Oryctolagus cuniculus: one gene and its partners. The protein of the gene in region 3 purifies or fractionates together with the protein of the main gene of each other region. This does not show direct contact. Links are inferred from orthologs where the notes say so. Each region holds a gene or a part of one and is shown on either strand. Other genes may lie near its edges.

The links.
Region 1: the proteins of LITAF (region 3) and NEDD4L purify together in Homo sapiens (affinity purification with western blotting; 3 studies listed by BioGRID and IntAct, counting the BioPlex papers as one, with this or other methods). This does not show direct contact. The link is inferred for Oryctolagus cuniculus from reciprocal best matches to the Homo sapiens genes LITAF and NEDD4L.
Region 2: the proteins of LITAF (region 3) and NEDD4 purify together in Homo sapiens (co-immunoprecipitation; 4 studies listed by BioGRID and IntAct, counting the BioPlex papers as one, with this or other methods). This does not show direct contact. The link is inferred for Oryctolagus cuniculus from reciprocal best matches to the Homo sapiens genes LITAF and NEDD4.

Annotation. Positions count from the first base shown.
Region 1 is NC_091441.1:20,023,500-20,027,093, forward strand, and holds part of NEDD4L (E3 ubiquitin-protein ligase NEDD4-like), read right to left. Parts: intron 2,858-3,594; coding exon 2,726-2,857; intron 2,266-2,725; coding exon 2,143-2,265; intron 1,061-2,142; coding exon 863-1,060; intron 1-862. UniProt on the Homo sapiens protein: E3 ubiquitin-protein ligase that mediates the polyubiquitination of lysine and cysteine residues on target proteins and is thereby implicated in the regulation of various signaling pathways including autophagy, innate immunity or DNA repair.
Region 2 is NC_091443.1:78,617,959-78,622,224, forward strand, and holds the start of NEDD4 (E3 ubiquitin-protein ligase NEDD4), read right to left. Parts: upstream 2,874-4,266; 5' UTR 1-2,873. UniProt on the Homo sapiens protein: E3 ubiquitin-protein ligase which accepts ubiquitin from an E2 ubiquitin-conjugating enzyme in the form of a thioester and then directly transfers the ubiquitin to targeted substrates. Specifically ubiquitinates 'Lys-63' in target proteins.
Region 3 is NC_091450.1:25,062,139-25,066,203, forward strand, and holds the start of LITAF (lipopolysaccharide-induced tumor necrosis factor-alpha factor), read left to right. Parts: upstream 1-1,210; 5' UTR 1,211-1,363; intron 1,364-2,193; 5' UTR 2,194-2,343; intron 2,344-4,065.

The DNA of each region.
Region 1 (3,594 bases), on a different chromosome or scaffold from region 3:
GAAGCAAGACCAAGAGCAGGCCCAGTGGCAATCTCCAAACCCAACGGGCTCTCAAGCAAGCAGCACAGGGACAGGAGGACTAGGCTACATCCTGAGTTAACTCTACCCAGACAACCCAGCACGGGGAGGAAAAGCACACGGTCTGTAACACCAGAACCAGCGAGCAACAGAAGCAACTTCAGTGCAACCATGGGGCCAGGGAGGGTGTGGCGACCACTGACTCTGGAGGAGCTTGCTGCTACCTGGCAATGCCACTGCTGCTTCGGCTGCAGAGAGGCAGTACGAGCACACGCGTGTGCACCTGTGACTCATTTCGCCTGAGTTAGGACAACACGCAGGCTGCTCCTCACACATGAAGTGGGGGCCCAGGAAAAGAGCAGGGTGTAGGCAAAGTCAGTTCTGACAAAGCGCTCACAGCAAAGAGCTCTCCAACCCACAGCCACAGTCCTGAGCCACGGTCAGTGGAAAGAGAACACAGACGGTGACAAACCAAACGGAAGGGAGTCACGTCCATGGACACACGAGAAGAAGCCGAGGAAGGAGACACATTTCAAGAAAGACACAAGTCCCGGTAAGAGTGCAATGGCACGAGGATCCCGGCAACACCGAGTGCTCCTTTGCTTCCTCGGCCAGGGTGAACCGTCAGCACTGCAGCTCTCTGGGAGCGCCATGACAAACAGCACCCCAAAGATGCCCGTGGGCCTGGGCCCACACCCACCCACGCCCACAGCCCATGGCAGCTGGGCCTCCCCACTGGTGGGGGTCGCACTTCTCAGTCAAGGCGATTCCTCCGCGAGGAGGCCCAGGGGTTACTGGCGGACCCGGCCGGGAACACGGAGCCAGGTGACAGCAGCAGCCTTACCCACGTCGTCGTCTTTGTGTTGTGGTCAATGAAGAAGGGCCGGCCGTTGGGCGCGATCCTCATCTCCCAGCCGGGCGGCAGGAAGCTCTGGGTGACTCTGTGCTGAGGTTTGGGGGAGTTGTAGGGGGACGGCTGTGGGGACTGTGGGTTGGAAAGGGTGTCTTTCACAGCCCGACGCACGGGGGAGTCCTTGGCACCCTAAGGAATAACAAGGAGTGTTAGAACTCTGTGTCGCGTGGCCCTGCACCTGGTGATGGCCGAACGCTCCTCTCTGGAGTCGGACAAAGGGGGAGGCTGCTAAAACACCTGTGTCTCATCTTCTTTAAGCCAGTCTGACCTCAGGTCTCTCTGCTGGCTCGGCACACAGCGTTCAGCGCTTCTCACCAGCTTCCCTCGGTGGCCACCAGATCCACACCACAAACCCTGCCCTACGTTAAGCACTACGCATGGAGGTTTTACGGAGCTGAGAGGAACGTGCCCCTGCTCTTAATGAGCTCACAGTCTAATGAAGAACAGATTGGCAGCCTGCGAAACGTGAAAAAAGAAGTCCCTAAGGCGATGGCGGCGACCACCTACGACTGCAGAGCTGTGGCCCGTGACGTTTCTCCGAGAATGCAGGGGAGGGATCACCTGTTCCCACCCAACGGTGTCTCGACACTGAGAATGGAGAAGCATCCAGCTAGCTCCGAGACAAGGTCAAGTCCACAGCTCCAACATTTACTTGTGGCTTCTCCCACTCTCTGACATTTGTGGTATCACAGGATGGTATTACCACAGCACGGACAGGAGAGAGGAAACACAAGCGGGTGCCCAGCCATGATTGGAGATGCAAAGAGGCTTTGGAAACACACAGAACCCATACAATGAGAGACCTTGCAGTTGAAAGGAAAAAAAAAAAATGACCAAAGCTATGTTTGGAGACTCAGTATGAGCACTGTCACCGAAGAGAGCTGCTATGCGAGTCTAATGACGTAGAACAGGCAGTCAGGAGCGAAACACAGCAGGAATGGCCAAAGTTCTGAACAGAGAGGATTCCCACACCCAGCACCAGTTCCCACGGTCTCAGCCCAATGAGAATGAGAGGCAAAGGAGTCCAGGACGCTGACTGGGCGAGACAGAGAAGCACGTGAGGCTGTCCCAGCACACCCTGCGCCTGCACCACCACCACCAACACACGGATGAGAGCACGGTGGCCGCGAGACTCAGGTCAGAGTTGCGAGAGAGGAGAGTGAGCGGGCACAGGACAGAGCGAGCCCAGGTGGATGAGGGCGCCTTCTCACCTCCAGCGGGGCAGATAAAGTTACTGTTGGCGAGCTGAGGCTACGAGGCCGGCGGATCTGAGGCTCGATTAGGTGGTTGCTACTGTTTGTGGCCGATCCGGAGGCGGCGCCGTCTTCTGCAAGCTGGTTTGGAGGCAAAAACAAGTTAGCTTCGCTCCAGGCCCTCCCCGAGGCTGTGGTGGGCAGCGTGAGCCCACGGCAGTAGTAAGAGGCCAGGTCTGTGTACAGCATGGAGGAATCCATTCAAGAGAATAAGGGGGTGGGTGGGGTAAGGACAGGAAACACAGGGGGAACAAGGATGGGGCACTGGCCCAGCGTAAAAACCAGCCTCCAAGTAACCCAGGGGGCCGAAGGGCAGGTGCACGTGGCAACGGGCTCGGATTTGAAAAACGCACCCTGGGACCGACTTGGCGTAAGGACCAGATTCTTCCTCGGGCAAACACTAAGTCACGTATTTGTTTTTTGTTTAAATGTATATATATATTTTTTCGCACAGGGGTCCTGGAGAACAGGATGTTAACACCAGGGACGGGAGGGAGGCGTCCGCAGCCTGTGACTCGAAGCTGGCTGGCGCTCTTCATACCTGCATGATGGGCCGAGTCCAAGTTGTGGTTCGATTGTTATGATTGACATAGTATGTGCGTCCCTTAGCATCTTTCCTTTCTTCCCAGCCTGAAGGAAGGCCCGGCGTGGTGTGTACATAGGCCACTGACGGCTGTTTGTGCAAGAAATCATCATTGTTTAATAACTGGCATTGGTTTTCTGATTAGTTTCACAAAGCAACGCATACTCAGATAATCTACGTTTTCCTACACAAGGTTGAGTTTGTTTCGTTTGTACAGAAAACACCTCAACAAAACAGCAAGATGTTTCTGGTCACTTCAAGTCTCCAGTGAGATGAACCCCATATGGCCATGGGGTCCAAACTCTTACAGGGCTTGCTTCTCACACCCTATGGCCTTCAACACAAAGGTCACGGCTAAGGGGACCGCAGGAAGAGAGAACGAGACACCAAGATCCGTCCCAGCTGCTACGCTTCCTGCCAACCACGGGGAGCGTCCAGTGCTTACAGGGATGCTCTGCAGGCTTCCTCCTCCCGCCGGCTGCCACGCCGTCAGCTCGGGTGCCCTACGCCACAGCCTGCAGGGCACACGGACACCTAACCCGCAGAGGCTCCTCTGGGACACTCACGCAGTGGCACAGAGTCCTGACCAGCACCCAGGACACCCGCGTGCCCCAGCTCAGGGCGTCTCCTGGCAACCTGAAGCTGCGTATGCAGCCCACTGATAGGCTGTCTCCTTAAAGGAAGCCCGGCTCTCGAGTCTCAGCCAGAGTGGAGCGACATAGGGTGCAGAAGCCACAGAAACATCTACTGAGACACGTCTGCCTGAGGGGGCGGCAGCAACACGTAGTCTGGCTGGAGCCATGGTGGGATAAGCACGGATGTGCCAA
Region 2 (4,266 bases), on a different chromosome or scaffold from region 3:
TTGGAAACACCCAAACTTGGGGAGTGAATTAAACTTTTAGCATTAAATCAAACAGATAAGTACTTCAGCTTCCAAATACCAGTTATAAAAAGCGAAAGCTTAAGGATTACATTCTGAAACCAGTCTGGTAATGCTATTGTAAGAATGGAGCATAGGTCTGAGAAAAAAAAAAAGTTTGAGAAGCTGTCACCAAGCATTTTCTGCTGAAATTTTAAGCTCTTTTCGAGCCAAGTGGTACAGTCTTTAAATGATGCCGTTCGTATTTTGACTATTAAAACTCTGCCAAGAAACAGCCTAAGCAAACATTCCTTTCAAAATATATGCAGATTAGGCAGAAGAACTATACCCCAATATATTCTGAGCACATAGGATATTTTATTCTACTGTCTCTGCAATCCATTCACTTACAAGAGTGCTGTGGTAAGTAAAGAAGTCTAAAAAGGATTTAACACATCAAATAAACATATCTCAATGCCAATTCTGTTCTGAAAAACTCTTAAGAGCTCTTTGCTGGCCCCTACTGGTGCCTTGAAACAATCCATTTAGCAGTGTGATATCTATAAAGAAATACAAGCCATGCTACTTATTTCTTTATATAAACAAAGTACATATTTGTTTACATTTCTGAGGACTGGCACTGCCCTACAGGTGGAATTGCTGGCGCTGATAAAACTCCCACAGTAGAGAACAGTGGACTGTCTGTTTCTTTTAGAGGTTGTGATTTTGTACATATATTTTTTCTACTTTGTATTTATTTAACCTTTATTTTAAGTTTATTAGGCAATAAAAGTTTAATATTTTAATTTCTCTCCCAAATGTCACAGACCAAGCTTGGTATTCTATTTGAAAGAAACAAATTTATTTTTAAATAATACTCTAGGGTATATTTAAACCCCTTACCTGAATTTTATAGCTGGAACTCCAGTAATAAATATATACTGGCTCATTCATAGGAAAGTAAAAAGCAAAATAGTTCAGCTGTTTACACCACATGCTACTACACCCAAGTTGTATTTTTCTAAGTCAGTTTTTTTTTCCTAAGTAAAAGCAAATATGTAAAACATATACTCACACTTTGTTTAAAAAAAGAAAACTGCTTAAGCTAGACCTGTTTTCAATCAAAACTTTCTACATGGTATTTTTAATCAATTAAGATCACAAAATAGAAATCTGGGAATTTATCAAATTACATCTAACCGGAATGAGATACTACTGTGTTTTAAAGTGCAGATAACAGTTTGTGAACTTAGTTATACAATTATTACCTTATTTAGGTTTTACATGACCTACCTCCTTTATGAATTTTACAGATTTCGGTAAATATTTCCTTATCGCTTTTATTTTATAAAATATTCTTTTTTTATTTTTTTTTTTTTTATTTTTGACAGGCAGAGCGGACAGTGAGAGAGAGAGACAGAAAGAAAGGTCTTCCTTTTGCTGTTGGTTCACCCTCCAATGGCCGCCGCGGCCAGCGCATGGCGCTGATCCGAAGGCAGGAGCCTTCGGATGTTTCTCCTGGTGTTTCTCCTGGTCTCCCATGCGGGTGCAGGGCCCAAGCATTTGGGCCATCCTCCACTGCACTCCCGGGCCATAGCAGAGGGCTGGACTGGAAGAGAAGCAACCGGGACAGAATCCGGCGCCCCGACCAGGACTAGAACTTGGGGTGCCAGCGCCGCAGACGGAGGATTAGCCTATTGAGCTGCAGCGCTGGCCCTTATCAGATCAAAGAGCCCTGATATTTTATTTTGCCTTCAAATGACTTCAGCATTTCTTCTTGGACTAAGTTAGGGGTCTAATACCTTATAGAATGAATCACTTCCACCTAGGCTGATCAATGAGATACAAATGCTCATGCCTGTGGCCTAAAACTTCCAGTTAATGAGATCTTCTGATTATTAATATAAAGTAATGAATTCCAGGTATCTGTCCGGGTGCATGGCAAGCCGTTCTTACAAGCATCAGCTTCGTGTCCCTTAAGTAGGTTTTAAGTTTCCAGAGTGCAATGCCATAACAGAGTACCATACCATAACTATACATTTCTCCTGATCCTCCTGAGCTTGTGTGGGGCCCCAAAGCAAGTGCCTACTCACACCAGACAGAAGGCTAGAAGTATGCTTGCATGCATGATGTCACCGTGGCCACTCTGACTGCCCAACACTTTCTTTCAGAAATATATACATATACACACACACAGATGGACACACACACACACACATACATTTTGAGGGTTAATCTAGCTGTGCTATGTCCAAAGAAATATTCAAAATCTCTGCACCGGGACAAAAAAGAATGATGCTTGCAAAACTGACTGAGAGGAGGGCTTCTGCCAAGAAAAAGTAAGGTTAAGAGCATCACAGGTACTTTCAAGTCCTCCAAGTAAGAGTTTAAATTGCAGAGAGGTTGAAGAATTTGTTAGGCTGTCTCAGATCTGGAGTGGCACAGGGTCTGTACCATTCTTACAGGGATCTGCAGTCAAAGTAGCCACTTATCCAGGAGATGCCAAAAGACTGGCTAGTGAAATGGAGACTATCTTAGAATTCAAGCTCCTGGGGCCGGTGCCGTGGTATAGAGGGTAAAGCTGCTGCCTGCAGGGCTGGCATCCCATATGGGTACTGGTTTGAGTCCCAGCTCCTCCTCTTCCCATCCAGCTCTTTGCTATGTCCTGGGAAAGCAGTAGAGGATGGCCCAAGTCCTTGGCCCCTGAACCTGTGTGAGAGACCCAGAAGAAGCTCCTGGCTCCTGATTGGCACAGCTCCAGCCATTGCAGCCAACTGGGGAATGAACCAGCGGATGGAAGACTTTTCTCTCTCTCTCTGCCTCTCATTCTCGTTCCGTGTAACTCTTTCAAATAAACAAATAAATCTTAAAAAAAAAAAAAAGAATTCAAACTTCTGACCCAAGAGTCTTAGCTATTTGGTTGTTGACTGTTTGCCAAAAAATAATGTGGTATGGTTAAGCTCTGGGTAAGCCTAATGATTGAGCAGAACTATGAAGGCCAAAACCCACTGTGATGGTGAATGCTATGTGTCAACCTGGCTAAGCTATGGTGCCCAGATGCTGCTGTGAGGGTCTTTTTAGATGTGATCCACATTGCAATCAGAGGAAGTTACAGCAAGCAGATTGCCTCATCCAATCAGTGAAGAGCTTCAGAACAAAGTCAGAGCTCTCCCAAGAAATAAGCAATACTGCCTCTCGACTCAACACAGAAAACCCTGCCTGGGTCTCCAGCTTCCTCTGCTGCCCTTTAGATTTCCGACTCCAGTCTGAAACATTAATCTTTACTTATCTGAATCTGCAGCCTGCCTGTCACTAACTTGTGTACTGGCGGGCAGTTTTATTTAAAGGCACACCTTTCTGAAATGTCCCATCTCTATGAACAGAACCACCACTATCGCCACTACCAACTGACTATAATCCTCACGCCTTAAAACGGGCTGGAAAAAAAAAAAAAAAAAAAAAAACAGGAATACATCAGCCTACTCTTTCTTGAAAGCAAATATCGCTTATATTGCAAATGTTTTCCAGATGACTAGAAATTGTCTCTGTTTAAAATTGTATCTGTGCTCCTCACTATACATTTCCAAAGAGAATTTGCAAGGAAAATGATATGTCCTTAATTTGGCTGGAAACGCCATAGAATAAAGACAGTGGCATAGAGGCTATAGTTGCTACAAAGTCTCAGGTGATCTCTATTTCAATTACCGGCTAGGACTGGAAACAGAAAACTAGACTGACACACACCTTCCAATTTTAATGATCTCTGGCTCCCTTTGGCTGGTAAAGTGAGATCCTTAAGAAAATTCTATTTCTAATGCATAGCAGAGCATTTAATACAATAGATGCAAATAGCATACTTAGTGAACACAAAAAATGTGGCATCTGAGAGCTTTAAATGCATACGTCCATGAATGTTAGGCAACACTTGACAACTGTATCATGATGAATTTTCCAAGTGCTTTCACAGTCACTATATCATCATAATACACTTTTCAGATAAGCAAGGAAAATGCTGTTATTTGCTTTTAGAAGAATTGAATGATTTGTCTAACAGAGGCAGAACTTTAAAAGAATGCTTTGGAGGGGTAATCCATAGTATCTCGACTGATACATTTGGTCAAGTACATGAGGAGACACAGCAGGTATGTTTATCAACTAATAGCAAAAACAAACAAACAAAACTCACAAAATATCAAAAAACCAAAACTAGAAATAATAACACTCCTGTCTATTAAGAAGGATTAACAAATGATGGTATTATGATGCTTG
Region 3 (4,065 bases):
GCCTGCAGCCGGAACTCCAGCTCCCAATCGTGACCCTAAACTGTCACAGTCTTCACCCACCCACCCCCAGCTCCTCTCCCCGGTGCCCGAGGGGCCTGGGACCAGCTGACCCCAGGGCGGTCGCCCTCGGGACTCAGGATGACAAGCACCCATACGCCAGCGAGCGCGGGCGGCGAGCAGGCTGGGTGCCAGGCGCTCCACGCACCCTCTCATTAACCCTGGCGGGGCCGCCGGCGTCCCCGCGCCGCACGGAGCAGCAAGCCCGGTGCCAGGGACGCAGGGGCTCGGCCGGGGGGGGCGACAGCTGGGGAGGGGGCGACAGCTGGAGGCGGCTGGAGCCGGCCCGCCTTGGGGCGGGGGTCGGCGGCCACGAGACCCAGTCCTGCCCACGCCACGCCGTCACCGCCGACGGAGCCGCGCCCGCCTCAGTTTCCCCACCCGCGCGCCAGGCGCCGGACGTCGCCCGGACCCCTGACTCCCGCCTGATTCCGTCGCCGCAATCCGCCTGACCGCGCTGGGGGCTGCCAGGACCCAAGCCTTGGAAGCAATTTTGAAAATCCTCGAAGTGTCCCAGGGAGCCCCGGAGGCCGGCCCGGGCCTGGGCGGGGGGCGTGCACAGGGGGCTGGAGCACCGCTCCCCGCGAGGCGGCCTCCGCCCCCCGCCGCCTCCTTTGTCCCGACCTCTCCGCAGCGCAGCGGACAAAGAGCCCCCGCCGCGGGCGCGGCCCCCGGAACAGACAGACCCTCCCTCCCGCCAGCCGCGCCCCGGCCCGGGCCGCCCCTCCCTCGCCGCGAAGACCACCTCCCACCCAGGCCCGGGGCACCGCCGCCCCGCGCGCCCGCGCGCGCGCCCCCACCCCGTCCGGGGCCGCCCCTTCCCCTCCCTCAAGCCCCCGCCTGGCGCACCGCCCAGCCCGCCCGGCCCCGCTCACCATGGCGCAGCCCGCAGCCCCGGCCCGGTCGCCCCGCAGCAGCCCCGCGGGCCCGGCTCCGCCCGCCAGCCCGCCAGCCCGGTCCGGCCGCCGCGCACCGTCGGGACGCAGGAACCCCGCTCTGCGGCGGGCGGGGCGCCTCAGGCTCCGCCCCGGACGGGGGCGGGGACCTCCGGCGTGGCCAATAGGCGCCTGCGCTGGGACGGCGGGGCGGGCCGGGCCGGGGCGGAGTCACGTGCGCTCGGGGCCGGGGCCGGGGCGGCCGGCGTGGGCGGGGGCTCCGCGCAGCTGGCGGGACGGCGGGCGGGGCGGGGGGCGCTGGTGGGTTGGGGCCGCGCCGTCAGCGCCGTGCCTCCGCCAGCCTCACCCCAGCCCCACGGGCTGTCCTCTTCCCGCGCGCTTACCGACGGGGAAACTGAGGCGCCCGGCAGGTAAGAGCTTGGGACTGGAGCCAGCTGGTCGTTTACTCATTCGTAAGGTTTATCGAACCTCGGCCACATGCCTGCTGCCCCGGAGGCCTCAGCGCAGCGGGAGCCAGAGAGTTCCACCCCCTTGACAGTGTGTCATCCTGCTTATTTTGACCGTAATAGCAGGCGCCCTGCCCACCAGATGCCCAGCCCTGTCCTACCAGTGAGTACGCTTAGCTCAAGACAGACCCCCACGGAGCTAGCCCACCTTACCGCTGCGAGGTGCGGAGGGATCCCAGGGTTTGGTTCCAGGCCTGCGCCCCCGGCTGGGAGAGGCCCCAGTTAGTGTGGGCATAGCAGCTGGTCGCTGCAAGTGGGCGCTCGCCGTGGCCAGTGAGGCCCGTTCGAGGGGTGGGTGCTGCAAGGCCGGTGAGCCCAGAGGGGCTGGTGGACCTGGGGCTCCTGGGAGCTGGACGGCTTGTCCGCCGGTAGCTTCTTTGCCTGTCTCTGGCAGAAGCTTGCAGGCCAGGGCGTCGGGCATCCCTGGCTCCCTCCTGCACGGCCTGGGCTCTCCTCCCGCGCCGTCAGAGCACCAGGCTGTTCCTGCCCCAGTGCCTTTGCCATGCCACTTGCTCCTGCCCGTGCCACTTCTCCACTTCATTGATCTCAGCTTGAATGGCCCTTCCTTGGCAGGGGCTTTCCTAACCCCCCCCCCCCGCCCCACCTCCCCATCTCTCCTGCCCCTTGTGAAATTAAACATTTGGGGGGCAGAGCAAGGGAGGGCCTTGGGAGTTGGGGGTGGTGATGAGCTTTTCCCTGGGTTGGGTCTGCTCCATTCTCTGTCTTTTCTGCAGAGGAGCGCCAGGCACACAGGCTGGCTGCCCTGTGCTCTGGCTGTCCGTCACACCTGGGAGTCCAGAGTGGCAGGAAACAGGTTCTTCCCACAAAGCCAGTTCCAGCGGCCTTTGCGGTCCCAGCCTCCAGCCAGCAGAGCATCATTAGTGGTAAGAGCTGGGCAGGGCAGGCTTGGAACCCCAGAGCCAGAGCTGGCGTCGCGATGCCAGGCAGGCAGGGACACTTGGGGGAACAGATTCTCGGGGGAAAGTGGTAATGGAAGTTGGCAGACTGCCAGGGTTCGAGTCCAGCCGTTTATGCTGTGTGGCTTTGGAAAAGCAGCCTGACCTCTCTGTGCTGTTTTCTCTGGTGTGAGCACATCGAGTGCTTGGCACAGAGGACGGCCTCCTGGCCACTCGCTGGTGCCGTCAGTGCTAGGGTTGAACGGGTTGGGCCGTGAACTTGAACTTCCCCGGCACGTTGCTGCACCCCCAGAGCCTTGGGTGCCTCGTCTTCAGGGTGGGTCTCATGAAACCCACCTCGGGGGTGGGCTGAGGATGGGGGACCTGCAGCAGCCCTCTGAGCCCCTCTTGTCTAGAATGTTCCAGTAATGCTAAGTTACTGTGAATTGTACCGGTGGCATTTGCTGGGAACTGGACAGACATTTCACACCCATTCTACGGAAGAGGAGCCGAGGCACCCCAGGGTGCGTGTGCACCCGGGGAGGGTGCCGTAGAGCAGACCCTGGCTGTGGTCTGCAGGTCTCACGAGCACCCCAGGCGGGGCCAGGGCGGGGCAGTGTTCCCCACACTTAACACAGCGAGGGCCCGAGTCGTTTGCTGAAGGCCACAGAACAGCAGTGCCCAGCCCGGGGTTGGAGCCCCTCCAGTGTCCTGCCTGCCCCGGCCCCGGCCCCGCTGTCATCCCTGGCTGGGAGGAGGCAGGAAGTGTAAGTCCCTTCCCCCAGAGCAGTTTCCTCCCGGTGCCTCCGGGTGACATCTGGCCCAGGGTCCCCAGGGTCCTCCCTGTGGGCCGGGCTGCAGGTTCCCAGCTGCTCATTAGCCAAGACGATAATTAAGGGCGGGGGATGAGCTCACCCCTGCTCCCTCGGGCCTGCCGGGGCCCAGTCGGCCCTGCCCTGTGCCAGCCTGGCCCTGTGCCCACTCCCCCCCCTCCCAGTGCTGGAGGGGCTTGTGGGGGGAGGGGGGTGAAGCAGACGCAGGCAGCCTTAGGGGAGCCCCCTGCAGCCCAGCCACAGCCCCCAGGCATCTGCTCCAGGGATTTCCAGGCCTAAAAGCAAAAGGAACCCTGGGGCCAGAGAGGAACCCCCTGAAGGGCGAGGAGCACGCGCTGAGCAGGGGCCGGTGGGAGGCCCCGCCCTGCTCTTTCCAGGGGGTAGCCCCTCCCACCTCGCTCCCAGCTAACGTGGCTGTCACGGCTCCCCAGGCTGGCTCAGCCCTCCTGGCTCCAGGACTGCGCTGTGGAGCCAGAGTGTCCCGGCGTTGTATTTGGCGCGCTTGTGCGTCGGTTTTCTCCTGTTCATGGCAAGTGTTGCCTTTTTTTTTTTTTTTAAAGATTTATTTATTTATTTGAAAGAGTTACAGAGAGAGAGAGAGAGGTCTTCCATCCACTGGTTCACTCCCCAAATGGCCGCAACAGCCGGAGCTGCACCGATCCAAAGCCAGGAGCCAGGAGTTTCTTCCGGGTCTCCCACGCAGGTGCAGGGACCCAAGGCCTTGGGCCATCTTCCACTGCTTTCTCAGGCCACAGCAGAGAGCCGGATGGGAAGTGGAGCAGCAGGGACTCAAACCGGCGCCCATATAGGATGCCGGCATTTCAGGCCAGGGCTTTAACCTGCTCTGCCACAGCACCGCCCCAGGTGTTGCCTTTCC